Linked DNA regions of Tribolium castaneum. The protein of the gene in region 1 interacts with the protein of each later gene in a biochemical or structural test. Links are inferred from orthologs where the notes say so. Each region holds a gene or a part of one and is shown in the gene's direction. Other genes may lie near its edges. The genes, in order: nuclear RNA export factor 1, Ran and Ref1.

What was found.
Region 2: the proteins of nuclear RNA export factor 1 (region 1) and Ran form a complex in vitro, tested with the Homo sapiens proteins (2 studies listed by BioGRID). The link is inferred for Tribolium castaneum from reciprocal best matches to the Homo sapiens genes NXF1 and RAN.
Region 3: the proteins of nuclear RNA export factor 1 (region 1) and Ref1 form a complex in vitro, tested with the Homo sapiens proteins (2 studies listed by BioGRID and IntAct). The link is inferred for Tribolium castaneum from reciprocal best matches to the Homo sapiens genes NXF1 and ALYREF.

What each region holds. Positions count from the first base shown.
Region 1 is NC_087399.1:3,674,933-3,677,426, forward strand, and holds the end of nuclear RNA export factor 1, read left to right. Parts: intron 1-642; coding exon 643-679; intron 680-728; coding exon 729-1,142; intron 1,143-1,189; coding exon 1,190-1,363; intron 1,364-1,420; coding exon 1,421-1,569; intron 1,570-1,617; coding exon 1,618-1,717; 3' UTR 1,718-1,890; downstream 1,891-2,494.
Region 2 is NC_087395.1:25,444,886-25,448,649, forward strand, and holds the start of Ran (GTP-binding nuclear protein Ran), read left to right. Parts: upstream 1-1,327; 5' UTR 1,328-1,459; intron 1,460-3,764. UniProt on the Homo sapiens protein: GTPase involved in nucleocytoplasmic transport, participating both to the import and the export from the nucleus of proteins and RNAs. Switches between a cytoplasmic GDP- and a nuclear GTP-bound state by nucleotide exchange and GTP hydrolysis.
Region 3 is NC_087395.1:19,979,775-19,982,636, reverse strand, and holds Ref1 (THO complex subunit 4), read left to right. Parts: upstream 1-1,057; 5' UTR 1,058-1,169; coding exon 1,170-1,352; intron 1,353-1,457; coding exon 1,458-1,881; intron 1,882-1,956; coding exon 1,957-2,054; 3' UTR 2,055-2,297; downstream 2,298-2,862. UniProt on the Homo sapiens protein: Functions as an mRNA export adapter; component of the transcription/export (TREX) complex which is thought to couple mRNA transcription, processing and nuclear export, and specifically associates with spliced mRNA and not with unspliced pre-mRNA.

The sequences.
Region 1 (2,494 bases):
AATGTATTTTTCAAAATTTATTTCTTAGATAAAGTAATCCTACGATTGTAAAATCCGCCCTAAATGAAAGATAAAAAACGAAAAAGGGATGTCCCTAAGGGTGCTTCATCCAAATTGGAGCAGGTGTATAGTACAATAGTATCCTGTGGCACCATTAGGGGATTAGATAGACTGGCTTTTTTGCAGAACTTTGTGCTTCAAGACTAGAATAAAATCCTAAACGATTATAAAAGAAACAAAGCATGTTCCATTGTCCGAAATCTAATCGGATTGATTCCGAATTCTTGAAACGTAGCGAATAGTTCTCGTGAGATTTTCAAGTATTAACGTGTTGAGATCTTTGTCAATTCAAGTTAAATGTACTCGAAGGAGAACGTCTTCGATTTCCTGATCGTCACAAATTTCTTATTAGATTCTAGACATCTTCATTAAATTTTCTTGTTTTGTTCGTTACGAAAATAGTCACACGTTCTGAGTTTACGCTTCTCTTTTCTGTCACATTGACTCGCTTAAATTTCGATCAATTTGTCAGTCTGATTCCATTTTGACTAAAACCTCTTGTTTTTCATCTAAACATAAATGCTGAGCAAATCTGCCACCTCCATTGTTAACACCTTCGGGTGACTTCTTCTCTTTCCGCAGTGAAGTCCGCAAACGCTTCCCCAAAGTAATGAAACTGGTAAGTTTATTTAATTTGCTTGTTCGCCTCTTCATAAAACCATTCAAAGGACGGAATCGATCTACCCCCACCCATAAGTTTCGACATTCAGGAAGAAACCCACTTACCACCAATCCAACAAACATTTTTATGTAACCAAGAGGGCGAATCAATAGTTCGACAATTCCTCGAACAGTATTTTCTAATTTTCGATTCGGAAAATCGCCAACCCTTGTTACAAGCATATCACGAAAGCGCCCTATTTTCAATGACCATGTCGTACCCGTACGGACACAGAGACAAGAATGCCAGTTGGCTAAACTGGTACACCACTGATAGCAGGAATCTGCAAAAGGTCCAAGACCCGGATCGGAGAAACAAACTACTGAAACAGGGCCAAGTGGCTGTTGTTTCATTTCTGCAAGAAATGCCTCGGAGTAAACACGATATTCACAGTTTCACGGTTGATCTTGTTGTTTTTACGGTAAGTCGAATTTTGGTTTCGTCAAGTTGGTGATAACGTTGCTTCAGCCATTAATGATCGTTTTAACGGTCACTGGGATGTTCAAAGAACTGAAAAGCGGACACAAAGTGCCTCCGACGCGAGCCTTTTTCAGAACACTCGTTATAGTACCTGCAGGCTCAGGTTTCTGTATCTCGAATGAAACACTGCATATTACAAACGCCACCGACGAGCAAGCCAAGGTTTGTCGATTAATAACTTGAAGAAAAAATGTTGTATTGTACTCGTGATTTTTTTAGCATATTTTCAAGACTGTGGTTTCGGCGCCGCCCCCGACTCCGGTGGCGTCGCCTGTGGCAACCCCTGCGCCCATTGACGACTCCACGAGGCAACAGATGGTCACCGCAATGGCCGAACAATCCACCATGAATTTGGAGTGGTCAAGGAGGTAAAATATAGATGTGGATTTACGTTTGGCTAATTTGATTACTGCCAGGTGTTTGGAAGAAACCCAGTGGGATTTTACCCGAGCGTTGAGTGCGTTCGCAGATGCGCAAAAACAAGGACTAATCCCGCCTGAAGCGTTCGTGAAATAGTGAAATAAATCGAATTAAGTCATCATGTTGTTCTTTTTATAAAATTTGTATTTGATAATGTTTATCATTAGTTTTATTACAACTGTAAATAAAAACACTCGATTATGTTTGTGAATGAAGCTTAATTTCAATGAGACTGTGTCAGTTATTTTTATAATAAATAGTGAATAACAGGAGTGTTGTTTTATTTGGGGTGATTTATGCCAGAAAAGTGTGTTATTTAACACACTTGTGCGAAGGGAATACGAAAGCTCTGCCTCATTTAATATCAGAAACATAAAAGAGTAATAAGTGTCAAGCGGAGTTATTTATTGGATAAGGGGTTTGGAGTTAATGAAGCTATTACGTTTATATTTCGATAATTTTGGGCTTGGAGTTATCTGATTCAGGCCATATTTCGAATTACTGGGTGATTTAGGACTGTCTGCTGCGTGAAAATTAGACCAATATTTTTGAACTTGAGGAAATGCTTAATTTAATTTATGATTGCTAATTTTTTATTATTACATAATTACTAACTCAAGGTAAGTTTGGGAAAAAATACACAATTGTTTATCTCAGGAAAAAATCTTCAATAAAATATTAATCATAACATTTAATCATAATTCCCAAAATGACTGGGAGATAAAGACAATATTCAGAAATACGAACTGAACAAGACTTTAGATTATTTGCCATTAAAAAATAAGACAGAAGCCTGAAAATATGGCTGTTCTCCCAAAAGAAAACAACTGAAAAAGGCCTCAAACCCTTCAAAAATCATTAATTTTTATTCAC
Region 2 (3,764 bases), on another chromosome or scaffold:
ATTGAAGAAGGTGGACTTGCCGACATTGGGTATCCCGACGATACCGACCCTCAAGTTGGTGCCCACCCGCCCTATGAGCGGCTTTCTCTCCGGCTCTTGTACCTTTTTAGGTGGCATGATCTGCAACACGAGCAACAAGACCGAATTAAACCACCTTTTAGATAAGGTCACGAGTTGGCATTCTGCGCCTTTTTCGTCCATTTTCCGATATGCAAATCGTCGGTTATGCGTTCAAATAATAACACACATCACCGACTGCAACTTAATTTGCACAAAATAGCAATTTTCAATCTGATACCGAAATTGTAACTTAGGGACTTTGCAGAGCGTTCAGCATTTTTAAAAAAGCACTACATAATAATAAGCTCACCGTTCCATAGGCTACAATTTCGAATTTACCATCAATTCCTACTTTCATATTAATGTAATTTGCCACACAGCGCCCCAGGCCCTTAAATCCGCCGTTATAATTTCGAAATTTCGCTGATTTAATCAATTTTTTACTAAAACAAGAACCGTCTCAAATTTCAACCAAATTCGAAAACGCCGCGACCCGTCATCACGCAAACCACCGCCAGGTGGCGACAAGGACCCACACACGATTTAACCCACAAAAACATAATTCCCGCAAAAACGCGACTAAACATTACGCAAAACAAACTTTTTTGTCATCTAATCCCCAAATAAGCAAAACAACAGCGAGACATGAACCCGATCGGCCCAAAAAACACGTGAAAGTTGCATAACCTCAAAGCCATTCTGTCGTTTTTTACCGCAAGACAAAGCCATTAATCGGAATTTTTTTTACACCGATCCATTCATACACTCGCACTACTCACCTCGATAAGGTCTAAAAGTGTTTTTGTTAAAGAATCAGAAAAACTCACAACACTACACAATCACCGGTAACCTATATTTTGACAGATAAGCGATCTTTTTTTAGGTTCGACGCCCGGCTAAAAGGTGGGCAAAAAAATAAAATTTTGATTTGTTAGCACATTTTCCCAAACGAATCATTCACTAATTATTGATTACTAATTAAAAAAAAACCTGATTATAAAATATCTGTAGCTCCCCCCCAAGCAGGTGTTACTCAATTGTTTAAATGCAAAATTCCCAAGGACACTTTCAACCCCTCAACTAATTAATTATTTTCTCATTAAATCTCTACGGAATTGTAAAAAAAAATATTTGGACAAAGTTGGGTAAGACCTACGAAGAACTCTTAAGACAAAATATATTTTTTATTAATGAATTAATTAAATTTGTTCCTGATCGACGTTCGATCGTTTTTTGTTTTAAATAAAAAATCCCCAAATGCAAATTTGACAACTTGACATTTGCAATTATTTGTTTGTGTGAAAAGTGGGACAAAAATGCAAATTTGAGGTGAAAAAGTGTGTTTTGTGCCAAAATTTCGTGTTTACTGAGTCTCTGGTCCTTCGCTGTGTGTGCTTTGGTGAGTGAAACTCAAAAAAAATTAGTTATAATGAACCCGGCTTTTAACAGACGCTCGGATATAACAAACAAAATTATAAGTCCCGTTTTAAAGTCCTATACCTATTGTAGTAACAAACTGGTTCGGTTTTAACGAACAAACAAACATCACTTTTAACGTCCAATATTTAGGCAAAAATACAGTGGCGTCCGTTTATAACGAACCCATTCATAACACACTTGATTGAGTTGTTGCTGAATTAACGCATAGGAAAGGTAAAATCTTGGCCATTTTCGACCAAATCTGGTGATTTTTTCGTTCCACTTTAATAAAAACAGGAAGAAAACCTTGATTTTTGGTCTAAAAACATGTTAAAATTCTCAGAACTTGCAAAAATAATGTCATTTTTGACATAAGTCTTTGATTTATTGAGAAATTTTGCACAATAATGAAGTTTTTGCTGAATAAACGCTTAGGAAAGATAAAATCTTGGTCATTTTCGACCAAATCTGGTGATTTTTTCGTTCCACTTTGATAAAAAACGAAAGGAAATTTTGATTTTTGGTCTAAAAATGTGTTTAAATTTTCAGAACTTGTAAAAATAATGTCATTTTTTACATAATTCTGTGATTTATTGGTTTACTTTTTAAGAAATTTTGCGCAATTATTGAGTTTTTGCTGAATAAACGCTTAGAAAAGGTAAAATTTTGCTGATTTCCGACCAAATTTGGTGATTTTTTCACTTTAGTTTAAGAAAAACATGAAGAAAACCTTGATTTTTGCTCTAAAAACGTGCTTAAACTTTCAGAACTCGTCATTTTTGACATAATTCTGTTATTTATAATTGAGTTATTGCTGAATAAACGCCTAGGAAAGGTAAATTTCTGGTCATTTTCGACCAAACTCTAAACTCGGACTTATCGGACTTATTTGCCTTATTATCATAATATGTAATATTTTTTAATAAGTCTATTTATACTTTATTTCCTGTATCTATTCCAAACTTTGGAACTCCTTTAACTTGAAAATTGTTCTTTGGGTGTTCGTTATGACCGCGTTCCACTGAATTGTTGATTTTGCTATTGCCCACCTTGTGTGTTTGCGCCAAGTAGAAAATTGCGAAAATTTGTTTGTTTGCGAGTAAATGCGTCTTAGAAATAGTATAGAATTACGTATTCCGGAGCAGTTGATTTCCATTTGGGTCCCGGAGCATAGAATGAGCATCGAATCGCACAATTACCGTATGAAGACATCAAAGCGATCGGAAAGCTCACAGGTTATTCAGGAAACCGCAATTGTTGCAAGTGAAGTGCACAAAAGCTTCACCTACAATAGCATTCGCCACATCCGGAATGTCGTAGCTTTTGGTCCTCTGTGTCGTCGTCGATATAATAAAGTATTGCGTTACTCTTAGCCTCGCCGACAGGAAACTGCAAACGTTATTCTGTCATTTTACGAGCCAGCATTTCAAAAAAGCCCATTCTTTGCAAAACATGTTCATTGGACGGGGGCCCTTGGGCCGCTGCCAAGCCTAATTCGCCATAAAAGTAATGAGTCGCTGCCTCATGATATACATTGTCAAAGAAATAAAAGTTTCTGCCTTTGGGGGCCAAATCAAGACCCGGCTCGCTCTTTTATCACTATAATCAGGCCGCCAGCGCCAAGATGGCCAACATCTCGACCACCACGTGAACAATAAGACGGCTCTGATTTTATAAAACTTTTCGGAAAAATTGCGATTTTTTTTTGTTTGAACGAAGCAACTTCCGAGGGTGCTTCCGGTGCACTGTGTGGCACGGGGCGCGATGCAGCTGTGGGGGGCGGAACGAGACCCGCCGCCGGAGAGGACGTCACCTCCTCTAACACATGGTCGCGTCACAATGTGACGGCTTCTTGTTATTTTATATCGGTAAATGTATTAGCGGAGATGGACGGCCTACTCGTTTCATTGCGACAGGGGTGGACACGCGCCCTTGTTTGCCCCAAACAGACCCCCACGAGAGCGACAACAGTATGGAAAAAAATCTTATTCAATTGTACGAAAATGTGTGCTCACAAAGATGGGACTAAATACTTTCGAGAGATCTTTTTTGAAAACATATTAATCTTCAAATCTCGCTTTAAACCGATTTTTTTTTTGTAATCACAATTTGAGAAACGAAAGGACTCGAAGCAGAAGAGGCTTGTTGATTGGTAAAGTCATAAAACAACAGAAGGTACTAAAATTTTATGAACTGTTGCTCTTTTCGAGCCCTGAAGCCCTTTTTCCACAAGGTTTTGCTAAACCGAACCGAAAAATTAGAAAATTAGATGGAAAACGATTACT
Region 3 (2,862 bases), on another chromosome or scaffold:
CCTTACAATAAATATTAATTAATTAAAAAAATCAATATAATAATTAATTAACTAAATTTATAGTCTTAGGGACTAGTTACTGTACAAAGCCAAATAAAATTTAATTCAGGATTAAACTTCAGTGGTGGAGAACTTACGGATAAAACGAACTAGTTTTCCGTTCATAACGAACTTTTCACAGAATTTTGAGAAATATGTCGGGGTTGATAGTAAGTATTTAATATAATAGAGAAGTGTTAACTGATGAACAAATTATTAACTAACTAAAAATAAATATTTTTTGTGTTTTGACATCTAATTACTGTGTAATTAACTACTTAATCCAAACTTTTATTATTTTTTGGGATATTAGAGGTTGAAACTTTCACTTCAGCGTCTAAAAATTAATCAGAAACGCAATATCAACTAGGAAATTGGGATTGCGTCTTTTGAGTACTTTTCCCAAAGTTTATATGACTAACAGACGGTGATTTGAGCAAACGAGCGTATGCGAGTTACATAATATACACCCGAGAACTTTAAACGTTTTCGCGTGAGTGTTTGTTTTGTTGGAATTTTTAAATTAAATTAATATTTTTTTATTACATTTTTTAAATTTCTTTTAAATTTAAACGTGTTCACATTTGATTTTTTTTACTTTTAATGGATCAAATAAAGAAAGTCTAACATTACACAATATTTCAATTCTGCCAAAGATTCTTCAAACACTAAAATGTGTTAATGAGTCAATATAAATAAACATCTGTTTTGTATTGACAATATTTTAACATACATTAGGTAGAAGAACAAAATTTCATTTACAAATACCTACCTACATAAACTGGTAGAACAAAGTTTGAAAAAAATTGAATGTATAGGGAACCAATAATACAGCGGTGTTTTTACATTGGTGTAAATAGGTTACCTATTTCATAAACATAAAAATAAGTTTTTATTCTTTGTTTCTGTATTATGCTGAAAATGCAAAAAATTGCCTAATACATGCGGTCGTATTTTTTTTTGGTAAAATCCGGGCAGGTTCCTGTGTTGCCGACAGCGCAGTGACGTGGCGCATGCGCACAGCGTCTGTCGTTCATTTTGTACGCCATTTTGTCGTTGGTTGTGTGCGTTGCCGCCGGGTGTAGAAAAAGTGAATTTCTCAGTCAAATCAGCGTACAAAATCAGTAAAAATGGTCGACACAATTGAAATGAGTTTAGATGAGATAATAAAATCCAAGCCCCGGCGCGGCGGCCGTCGCGGAGGTCGCGGCGGAACCCGCGGGGGTGGCGCGCCAAGACGCGGCACGTTCCGAAGAGCCGGCGGCGTCCAAAGGGGCCGAGGACGCGGAGGAATAACGCGCCAGTACACCCGGGTAATTGTTTCTAACTATGTTTATACTTAAGCTGCCCCGCGATGGAAGCGGCTAGCGTGCATCCAGCCGGAGAGCCGGAATTTACCCCCATCCATGTTTGTTTAGGGAGATGTGAACAGTGCTTGGAAGCACGATCTGTTCGAGGGCTACGGCCCGCGTAAAGTGGCCGCGGCTCGGGCCGTTGTGCAGTCCAATGTGGGCCCCACTAAGCTCATGGTGGGCAATTTAGACTTTGCGGTCTCCGACTCGGATATTCAGGAATTGTTCGCCGAGTTTGGGCCGCTAAAGAGCGCCTCGGTGCACTATGACCGCTCGGGGCGGTCGCTCGGCACCGCTGATGTGATTTTCGAAAGGCGCACCGACGCTATTAAGGCCATGAAGCAGTACAACGGAGTGCCTCTCGACGGACGCGCCATGAACATTCAAATCATCACGTCGGAGATTCCGTCGCCGGTCAGGAGGCCCACGGGAGAGAGGAAGTTCCAAAGCAGAAGAGGGGCTGCACCTGCCAAGGGACGACCTAACAGAGGTACAATTACTTGACCAGCGGCGGCGACGCCTCCAACAGCCGGATTTTTCAACTAAACAAATGTTTGTTTGCCAGGTCGTGGAGGAGGACGAAGTTTCAGAAATCAAAAGAAACAACCGACAGCTGAAGAACTCGACGCTGAATTAGACGCCTACACCAAGGAGATGAAATAAAATAAGTGCTATTAATATCAGAGACGCTCAACGCGCCACTTTTTGTGACTTGTGTTTAGTTCTTTCGTATTTTTATTTTGTATTTTGATTGTAACATCGAGCCTTACATTTTATAAAAAATAACCACTAAAGTACGAGGATTACGTATGCGGTTCGTTTTTTCCACAACTAAATCTAGTGTTAGGCTGTTTTCTCTTGTTAATGTAAATTGTATTGATAGGAATAAATAAGAATTAAGTGTGACTTGTCGTTTCATTAGAAATTTTTTTTATTTATACATAAAACTGCATCAGCCAAATGTATCACATGACGTTAAGACCGAGTTGTATAAAAAATTAATCGCCTTCAATCTTGATTTAAAACCATAATAAATCTTGTAACAGTTGTCGCTAAAGGCACGTTGACACGGATCGATTTTAGTCGTTTATTTCAAGTTGAACAATAAAACTTCAACAAAAATCATCGTCAGAATCTTTGTTGTGTCTTAAGTGGATCAAGTTTTTTACGATGATTTCCATTAAAAATTTTCATCTTTAATTGAACAACTAAAGTGGGTCCGTGAGAACTTGCGTTTAGGGTTTATATTACTAAATATACGACAAAACAAATTACAAAAAGTACATCCAATCGAAGCGAGTGCACTCAACGTAATTTTCATCAATAAAGAATACTAAAAGAAAATAATAATTTATTAAGCAACAGTGTAAGATTAATAATTATAGTAACTGAGCTGTCTTGTGGCTGCTTGTAATGTTCACAATTTTGTATCAAAATTAAATTACATTAAGTTTTCTTAGTTCCTATAATT